Drosophila melanogaster: one gene and its partner. The gene in region 1 interacts genetically with each later gene. Each region holds a gene or a part of one and is shown in the gene's direction. Other genes may lie near its edges.

The links.
Region 2: of Lim1 (region 1) and al, changing one enhances a phenotype caused by changing the other (phenotypic enhancement), as found in Drosophila melanogaster (2 studies listed by BioGRID).

The regions. Positions count from the first base shown.
Region 1 is NC_004354.4:8,802,730-8,807,774, reverse strand, and holds the start of Lim1 (LIM homeobox 1), read left to right. Parts: upstream 1-1,970; 5' UTR 1,971-2,768; coding exon 2,769-2,811; intron 2,812-5,045.
Region 2 is NT_033779.5:376,233-381,394, forward strand, and holds the start of al (aristaless), read left to right. Parts: upstream 1-1,879; 5' UTR 1,880-2,249; intron 2,250-5,162. UniProt on the Drosophila melanogaster protein: Involved in the morphogenesis of proximal and distal pattern elements in a subset of appendages. Also has a role in early imaginal disk development.

The DNA.
Region 1 (5,045 bases):
TTATTCCATTCCTATTATGTCCTCATCCCTTTTGCTCTTACTAAATTTGGGGCAAAGCAGTTTTCAAGGCCGTCAAAGATCAACTGATTTCGATAACTTTTCGATAGCGCAGAACAAGTGAAAAGTGACACGCACACGCAAAAACAAAAAGCAAGCACTTCACAGCTTAACACCCTAATGTGCAATATTTTTGACTACCCCACATCCACGCACACAGCAAACGGCGCTCTTTAACCCACCACAGCCCCCTTATTTTGTGTCGAACATCTTCTTCTTCCTATCGAAGTGTGAGTGAGAGGGAAGACCGTAAGGAGTGAATGAGAGCGGGAGCCTCCTCCCCGACCTTTATAATGCGTTCTCTTTTACTCTCACTTATTTTATGCATTTTTTTTATTTTATCCAGTTTTGTCTTTTCTTGTTGTTTGTTTAGATCTTTGGCATTTTTGCAATTTGAATCCTATATTATTTCTTATGGTTTTTATTGGTTTTTGTATTGGTTTATTTTTACGATAAGTGTCTTGCTATAGATTTATCTAAATCGAAAGCTTATTAAAATTGCATTTGTTAAAGAAAAAGAAAAAGATATAATATTTTGCACAATTTTAAATGTTTTTTTCTACTAATTTTTTGTTACTTGCAATTTATCTAACACTTTTTCTTTGCTTTTTTTTCTTCGCCTCCGTTTTTTTTTCTTGCTGTCTCCAGTGCGTTAAAACGCCAAAGGGGCGTCCCTCTCCAGCTAACGCCCCCACCACCCCCCGCCACTAGTGCTCTCCCTTTCGCACTGCTAACGACAAGTGACAAACACAAGTTGCAGAAGAGGCAGCCGAACAAAAACAACAACTAAAAATAAAAAAGAAGGAAAGAAAAAAGTTTTTGCGACCAACAGTTGACAGTCGAAAAGCATTTGACATTTTACCTTGGCACGCACACAAGCACCGCCAAGTGCGAAAGGGACAAAACGCGGGCAAATGTCACTTTGAAAAATGCCATTGGCCCGGCCAGCGAGTGTGAGCGAGAGGGCGCGACGGCCGGAGAGCGTGAGAGCGAGAGAGCGCCATTTTGCGCATCTCTCAATGAAGCAACAATAAAAAAACCAGTTGCTTAGCAACGCCCCCTCTAACCGCAAAAAAGAGAGCTGGAGAGCAGGAGAGCCAGTGTTGCAACAACAATGGGCAAAATGGAAGGGCAACAACAGCAACAAAAACCAAAAATATCCTTACAGGAACAACGCCAGCACCAATCTTGAGAAAAGGATCAAAAGCCCAAGATCAACAGAAGAATGTGTGTAGAATTTAAAAAAAAAGTGAATTTTTGGATTTTTAAAATCTTATGAATCTAACAAGCATCTAGTAAGGCTAACTAAATATTTAGTTATCATGCTAAATATATCAAAATTTTCAAAGAACTTATATTGTGTATTATCGAACAATCACCTAAATTAAATCCTAAAAAAGGAAAAAAAATTAAGATTTCTTGATATTTTTTTCCAATTGTTATGAAATTGTATATCCTTTTCCAAAATATTTTTAATAATAATCTAGATATGCATACCAAATATTCTAGTCATATTTTTTCCATTTTTTTAGAAAACGTTTTGAAAAACAATTTTTTTATTTAAGAATAATATGATTTCTTCATGCCCAACACGAGAGAGCCAGGAGAAGCGACGGAAGCGAGAGCGAGAGAGCCTGCGACTCCATTGCAGCGCCGCCAGCAGCGCAGTCGGCGTCGCAGCAGCCCCAGCTCAACATTCGCTGCATCTCGCTCTGGCGCAGGCGAAATATGCGAGCACTGCTTGCCGCATTCGGTAGCACGAGTGCGAGCGATGCGCCTGCTAGCATCTCGCTCGCACCCAGGCGCGCCATTCGTCGCCGCTTCGGCTCGCCGTTCGTGTGTGTGCGTGTGCGCTCGGCTGGCAGCTATCGGTAATCGGGCCGTCCGCTTTGCCGTCGCGTTTGCCGTTTTCCGTTTTCAGTTTTTGTTTGACGTTCGCGTGAAGCGCCCGCAAAACGCAAAGCGCACGAGGCAACGCTCGAAAAAGGAGCCAACGCAGCCGTTTACCGTTAGTCAGCTGTTTACCGTTCCGCCGCGAGATCGAAAACCGAGAATTTTTGCCGTTGTTCAAATTTTTTTGCAAGTGAGAATCTTGAACAACAAGAAGAATATACAACACATAAATACAACAAAACCAAGGAATCGCCGAAAAGCCGATAGTGCAAAGTGTTTAAAAAGAAAAGAATCAATTTCATATACAACAACTAAAGAAATACTGGAATATAAGGCATAATAGAAGCGGAGGAAGTTTCTTCAACTCAAAGAGGAGCGGAATTTCGCGCTTTGTTTTTGTTTTGCCAAATTTGCCGCCGGCACACACGTGCTATCCCCCTCTTGCTCGCACCTTGCCACCCAGTCTTTATGTGCGTTAACCGTTAAGTGTGCAGTTGGGGCCCGCTCCTATCTTTCTCTCCCTCTCTCTCTCGCTTCCGCACCCGCACACACACACATATATCCACACCCACGCGCGCCTCGTTCACATACGCACACACACGCGGGACTTAACCCATTGACGGCCCCCCCAAAAAAGCAGTCACTCTTAACCCCCCCGAAAAAAAGAAAAACTCCATCCCCCCGGCATCAAGATATTCGACAACAAAATTCTCACCGAGGCCTCAAAAGCGCCCCTGAGGGCCGTCGCACTGGCGTCATATCTGGGCGACGGGTTCGCCGCCCTCGGTAGCCGCGCCCCCCCGCCCAAGGACCATCTGATGGCGTTCGGGGCGGTACTACACACCAGCCAGCACAATATCGGTAAGTGATCGTTTTGGGGAATTTAGGCATTAAGCGGTTAAGGGTCCAGGAAAACATAGAAAATCTGGGGGGTTTGCAGTGAGAATCCCAAACAGGCAAGTTCTTAAGGTTAGTCACATATAGGATACTGCAATCGAAATCATTTCATCCAAGAATCAGCACTAAATCTTTGAGTTGTGCTTGTAGTTCTATAGAATAATATCATTGGGAAGTCAAGGATGAAACATTTTACAGATCGAAAATAGAAGTTGTTTACATCTAATCTAGATTAAGTAATATTCATGATGTCCTCTATCGAAATAGAATGAAAACACCTGTTTGTAGGCTTCGTATAATATTTAAATTGTTTATAAAATCTGTAGACGAGTGATCAATGACACCAATGACACATTTCAAAAATACTTTTAAAAGATGGCAAAGAAGTGAATTTTCGAAAAATGTACTGACAAAAAAGTGGAATCTATTAAAAATGGCTTGATCGCTATGCCGACGGGATGTGGTCTTAGATTTTCAACTGGTGGTAGAAAGACATAAGAAAAGTAGGGTCGAGTGCGGTCGAAAGTCCTTAAAAGGAAGTCAACCCCTTGAAGGATCGGCGAAATGCGATCCCTAGGATGGTGGGTTAATACAATACCGCTTGCCCGCAATGGGTTAAGATGGCCAAGGAGTTTTTAATGGCGACGGCTGGGCAGCAGCAAAGTTTTTGCACTTTTGAACTTGCTTCCCGTTTTTAGGGGACCGCCGGCGAGGAGGAGAGGGGCGTCTAATGCCCCGTCGTCCATCTGCCGTCTCTTTTTCGCATTACCATTTTGTATGCTTTTGAAGTTCTTGTTCATCTGTTTTTGTTTCGGTTTTGTTTTTCCTCCTCTTGTTTTCCCGTTCGTTTTTGGACTGAAAAACTTTTGCGCAGTTGTCAAAGTTTTTCAGCTTCTTCTTCTGCCGTTCTTCCTCTACCCCATCTCATTTTTTTTGGCTTTTGTTTTATTTCATTTGCTCTCTGTCAAATTTTCACTTTTGCTGACTGTTTAATGTCAGGAACAAAAAAAAAAAAAAAAAAAAAAAATAGTAAAAAGGGAGCAAAAAGTTCAGAAATGAAGGCTCCCCTCTAGTTTTGTATTTTGTGATTAGTTGGTGAGGAATATTTCGTTTATATGTATGTATGTAGCTCCCCATCAATTTGAATAACTATAAAAAACATTTATAAACTACAAAATTAAGGATCTGCAGAGATTTAGAGACCGAACACTCTTTTCGAGTATATTTTGGATTCTTATCAAAAGAAATGAAATGAGAAATGATTTAAGTACATATTAGTAAAAATGTAGTAAGGTATTTTATACCACAAAAAATTTTTCAAAAATATTCTAAAATCCTCAATAGCTTCGTTTTCGAACCAGTGAGGTTCGATGGAAATTGCAACTGCAAATTCTCCATTTAACTTGTTGACATTGGACATACAGCGGCCGACACCTTACTTCCCCCATAAATTGGCTAGAGAACTGTTGGGGTTTTTGGGCTTGGGGCCTGCAGCTCCGGGGGCGGTTCAAGTCAAAAGCTGTCGACATTTGACTGGAAAATGGATGTTCAGGAAGCCGTAGACCCGCACAGTGGGCCACCTTACGACGGCGGACTGATGCCAAGTGGAGTCGTAAAGCTGCCAAGCTTTCTTCTTCCTGCTTCTACTGTTTCTCGGTTGGATTTTTTTGTTTTTGTTTTATTTCTCGCTCATAGACATACCCATTAGCTAATGACTAAGTGTTGGCAGTTATGAACTTAACTTGCATTTAGTTGGGGAAAACTACAAAGTAAAGTACCACTGAATATAACTCGGCTTAATGAAGATAACTTTTCCGCGCAGTAGCTGTATCTTTTTTCGAAAGTTCGTAAAGTAATTTGGAATCAGGAAAGATATCCAATTTTTTATGGTATAGTTAAGGTTTTGAAATGAGATGGAAAAAATGTATTGGAAATACTTAAGATAGGATACCAATTTAGGTCGTTGAATCTTTGGTAATGTGTTTATTCTTAAGGAATTTAGTTTTCAAAACTTCAATAGAATAGGGTAACCCCTCGTCGTTCAATTACCAATATCATCGGCCATTTCTCTGGTCGACTGCTCATTTTTCTTCGCATATATCTTGGTGGCAGCATCTTTTCAATTTTTATGTTGCTGCTAGCGAACACGGCAGCAACATGCAGCAACAGCAACGTGCAGCAACAGCAACGTGCAACAG
Region 2 (5,162 bases), on another chromosome or scaffold:
CGGGACCGGAAATTCAATTGTTGAGATAATAATTACATTAGGACGTGCGCGCATGCGCGACTCTTTCACTTTAAGCCTCCGTCTCTTTCGCGCTGTGGAGCGATCTGAGCCTGCTTAGAGTGGACCCGAATTGAGTCCGAACGGGGAAGAATGTCCACACGGATGTATTGAGACAGAGGAATACCTAGTACTAGATCCATTTCACCGCTAAATTACGAAATTTCCCTATTCGAATAAACCATCAAATATCCTCTTATAAGCATATATGCTGCGGACTGAATCTGTACATATAAAGACCTGACAATTCTCTAATTTGGATTCCGATTAAAATAAATTAAATGAAGTTCAATTGTGAGGATACCATCTTATTCAAGGGTAAATACATCAAGCCCTTGCTCTTCCCGAACACTGGGTATAATAAGTGCACACCTTGCGCGACGGGCTGATTGACACGGCCACATGGGGACGAGAGATACCGTGCTCGGTACCAGATATTCCCGATCCCGGTCCGAGTTTGCTGTCCATTGAACTCGTCGGACAAATGGTCACTCCTCGTCCGTCGACGGTCGATGGTCGCTGGTCTTTTGTTTGCATTTCGCCCGTAAATGAAGCGTGAAATTGGCAGCAGTGCAGCGGACTCGATCCAACTCCGACTCCAATCCCTATTCCGATCTGCAATGGAACTCGGAGAGCGTCGCATTGTTTACTTCTTGTTAAGGCCCGACAATGGGATAATATGGCCATATAATGGCAACACCAAACTATTTGTATGCAATTGCCATTAACACTTTATTTATTGCCTTGCGATACAAGCAAATTGGGCAGCGAATGATGGTCGAAGGAGGGGGACGCTTCCAGTGCAAAATGCCGCTGGAATGGATCTGTGGATGTATAAGGCCCGCTTATATAAAGCCTAATGAAGTGGTTATCAAGGAATGGAATCTGTTAGGTCTGCTCGGAAATGGCAAGAGCTGGGCTGAGTTCAGTTTTTCATCATGGACGGAAAACATTTTTCCTTGGATTACATTAAATTACGAAGATGGATGTGATAAAAATGATGTGATGTACAAGCCTATGGCTTGTATTTCACGTTGTATCAATCTAAATCAATATTCACTTATTTAAAAACTATCAACGGCTTTTCCAAACATCCTTCATTCAAATTTAACTTGAGTCATCTACATAGCTGGCTCATTGACCTTTTTCTCAAGTTATTGCCCTTCCCCGCATGACACCCCCACTCCGATGGGTAAGCAAAACAGTCTACAGTCCGACAATCATCCAATAAAGCCAACAAAGTCATTAACGAGGCCCTTAACACTACCAAAACGGTCTATATGGCCGGTTCCAAGTCCCCACCCCAATACACGCAACTCTTTTTCCCATATGTCTTGGCTAAATTATTTAATTTATGAGCCGCAACAACTGGCAAATGCATCTATGGCAACCAGAGGAAAACGCGTTGAGCTGGGGGGCAAATAAATTTCCATTTTGCTAATCAAATTTATTGCACTTTGTGCGGGGCTTATTCAATTACGCCCAATCGAAGAGGCGCGAGAGAGAGGGCCATGCGGAGCGACAGAGAGCGGTAGAGAGCAGCTCCGCCATTATTTCGCTCCGTCGAATGCTGCTTTCCCATAGGCCGAACCGCCAGAAAGAGGCGGAGTCCGCCTCCCGGCCACCTGCCGCCTCACCTGCGACACCTGCGACGATCGATCGACATGCTCCGATCGCATCGCTCCCTCTCGCTCTGCGGCACTACGAAACACTAAAAACACTGGGAGGCCAGAAAACCACTCTCGCAACATTGGAAAACAACAACTCCAACCGGTTGTTGTTTCAGACCCACCAGAGTTTTCACCTGCGCGCCAACTGCTCACCGTGTAGTTTGCTGCCGGCTCTGGAACAGCCCGGTCATCTCGTCGCGTTCGGTTCCGATTCCGATTCGAATAGTCGAGCTGGGGATACATTGTTGTTTCCGGGTTAAAGTGCGTACGATTGCGGAAGTGTCGGTATCCTGCGCGTAGTACAAAGTTATACCCATCAAAGGTGTATCGCGATCAAAGTGAACGCTTGGTACTCGGTATCTGGTTGTTGGAAGAAGTGGACAAAAGACCGTCGGCAAAAGTTACTGTTGGTGAGAGCTACAGGGCTTATTAGCCCGGTTAAATAGGAAGAGAGAGATTCAGAAGGCCAAACATTATCAAGACCATCCGTACAATATCTGGCGATTAAGGAGGAGAAGGAAGGTTAGTCTCAGACATTTTATCAAAAATATATGAAACATTCTTTGGACAGAATAGGATTTGTTATATCGAGAGCGTGCATTAAACAGGGAATCCTAGTTACTGTAACTCATAATTTTTTATCACAACCGTAGTCATTGCCTTATATCATATCAAAGATAGGGATTTTCTTAATCAAGCAATTTATATAAATTTTGTTTTAGCCCTAAACTAATCTTGACCCTTTTCCGCCACTTCCGATCCCCAAATCACATAAACTTATTATCACACCTTGCGAATAACCTACTTCTCAGCATGATAGACAAATACTACAAGTATAAGCCATAAATGAATTTCATAATTCACCTGTCTAATCATCCCAATCAATGTGAAGAGGGAAAAATAAAACGTATGACGAGACATAAATATCATTAAATTTGATTAATTTCCCACCTGGACATATCAAATCAGACAAATATCAAGCCAAATCGTATCATCGCTGTAGAATAGAATTTTATTAACTCAATTTTGAGGGTCGAAAGATTTCGCCTTTGCCTTAGCTGATAGTTCGATAAGTTTATCGCTGATTGGTTTTAATTAAACACCATTAAAGAGTACAAATTGTCAGCAGTGCAGTCAGCGCCAATAAATCACGTTTTGTCTAGCTGATGTTTTTCCCTTCTAGAGGTGGTTTTGGTCGAAAGTTGGGGGCATAGTCTTATGCTTGTCCCGTGTACCTACAGAATAAATGAAATTAACCAGCCACACCTATCACCCGCCGATAATCTTGTCAAAAGCCACTGACCACTTAGCTTCGTGACGCGGACGAGGGCCCCGAATATATAGTGAAAATAACACAAATATAGACAGATATGTGGGTCCTGATAAGGCAAAGGAAAACCGGGACCCTCTTTCCTGGTGATAATCGGGCACTTGGCCAACTGATTTAATTAATACTTATAACTCATGTGACTTGTCAGCACAAGTTTAAACGAATTTGTGACGCAAGTTGGTCGCAGTGTATTTGTATCTATGAGGTAGCATCATTCCCAATAGATAATACCGAAAAGATTCGATAAGATTGTCCCGTACAGCGTAAAATTAAAATATGTTCTCCACCGAAATGTAGTTCAATTCAATTACGGCAACATACAATTAAAACTTGTTGCCAGATACCTTAGATACTGTATCTTGTAGATATACACCCGAATTTTTGGCAGCTATCTGAACACGAACTCTGATTTGATTTGATTCGCTGTTGTTCGATTGCTCGACAGCTCCCAATTTGGGGCGCTGTCTTTTGAAGGGATGTCGGTTGATTGTTGATCGTTGATGGCAACACACCCCCCGAGAGAAATCTTCTCCAGCGGGAAGATGGCGCCAGGGCCCTTTGAGATGTGCTTCATTAATTCTTGTCCCCTGCCCCTCGCTAAATGGAACATGCAAACATGAGAAATTAACGTCGTCGTCCACAAATTGCCCACCGTCTGCCTCGGATTCGCTTATCAAACCACACAAGACAATGACAAAGGGCAGGGCGGAACAGTCGAAGATGGAGATGGCGTCGGGCAACAGTTGTCCAATCCCCAGATCCCCGATCCCCGAACACCGATCACCGATCCCCGATCCCCTCCGGTCCCAATTTATAGCTCCTCACTGCGACTGCTGTTCTTAACATGCTTTTTATGAGTAATTGGCCCCGCATCAACATCACCAACACGGGCTAAGCTTGTAGCTACAGCATCGCCATTCACCATCAACAACTTCTTGGTCTTCTGTGTGGGTCTTGAGTTGCTGATCCTGGCTCTGAGTCACAATTTGAACTTGCGTCTACCTTTGGACTACCGTCCCGGCACTCTGATCCATTAGGGTGGACACGGGGTAATTTTTGCTACCTGGGAGCGAATCTCGAATGCCCTTGGAGAGCTCGAAATCCATGTGTCAATACATTTTTACCCAAAAGTTCAAGTACATACAATTTTTATTGTATTTAGCTAATAGATAGTCTCAAATGGGAACGTGTTCTGCCTGTAGACCTAAAACTTTAATGTATACCTTAAATTGTAGACATATTAGGGATTATATAGGATAAGTAGATCAACAACTTAGTTGACCAACTTCATTCACCAGGCGTAGGGGAAGGGTACTAGACCCTTCGTTGCAACTTCGTCTGATAGGCAGTAAATTGAATTAAGATTGTGGAAAAGAACAACAAATGAGGCAGCAACTTCGACACAGGATATGAATAAACTAATTATAATTGGGAGTGTGTGCATTAGAGGTCCATAACGTACACCCCAGAACAAGAGGTACAGAAACAGACGATGATGACGGCGCCTGGCCAACAACAAGAATGCTGCCTTATCGCACCTGGTCCAAAAGACGGCGCCAAGAAACAAACAACCCAACAACTGGAAGGTGAATGGAGGGCTCAGGTGCAGCTTAAATGAGATAAACACTACGGAATTGACTCGACTCGGCCCAGCTCAGCTGCTTGTGATATTAGTTAAAAACATTTCTGGGTGACTTACAAGAGCTGGTCGAAAATAATAATTGGTCTTATCGAACCAAAAGTAAACGACCAAGCTTGGAACGTCGCTGGCCAATCCGTCAACTTCTCCAGGGGACCACCAAGGGACTGGTATCGGGGGCGATCATTGAGCTTTCGCTCGGGGCCAAAAGTTAAGCCACCCAAAATGCTTGCCATTATCGAAGAACCGGAGGCGAAATTACAATGCCGATCATCAAAGTGTGACTAAAGTGGTTTAGCCTAATGTAAACCCATAAATAAGCAGCCCAGATACCGGCCAGACTGGGGACTGGCTGGAAACTGGAGTCTGATCAATAAAGTCTGGAGAGTGGAGGATCGAGACGGAGGCGCATTAACGAAATGCCAGAAAAGAGCTTCTGTTTGCTGTTCTACCTGATGCCGTCCCT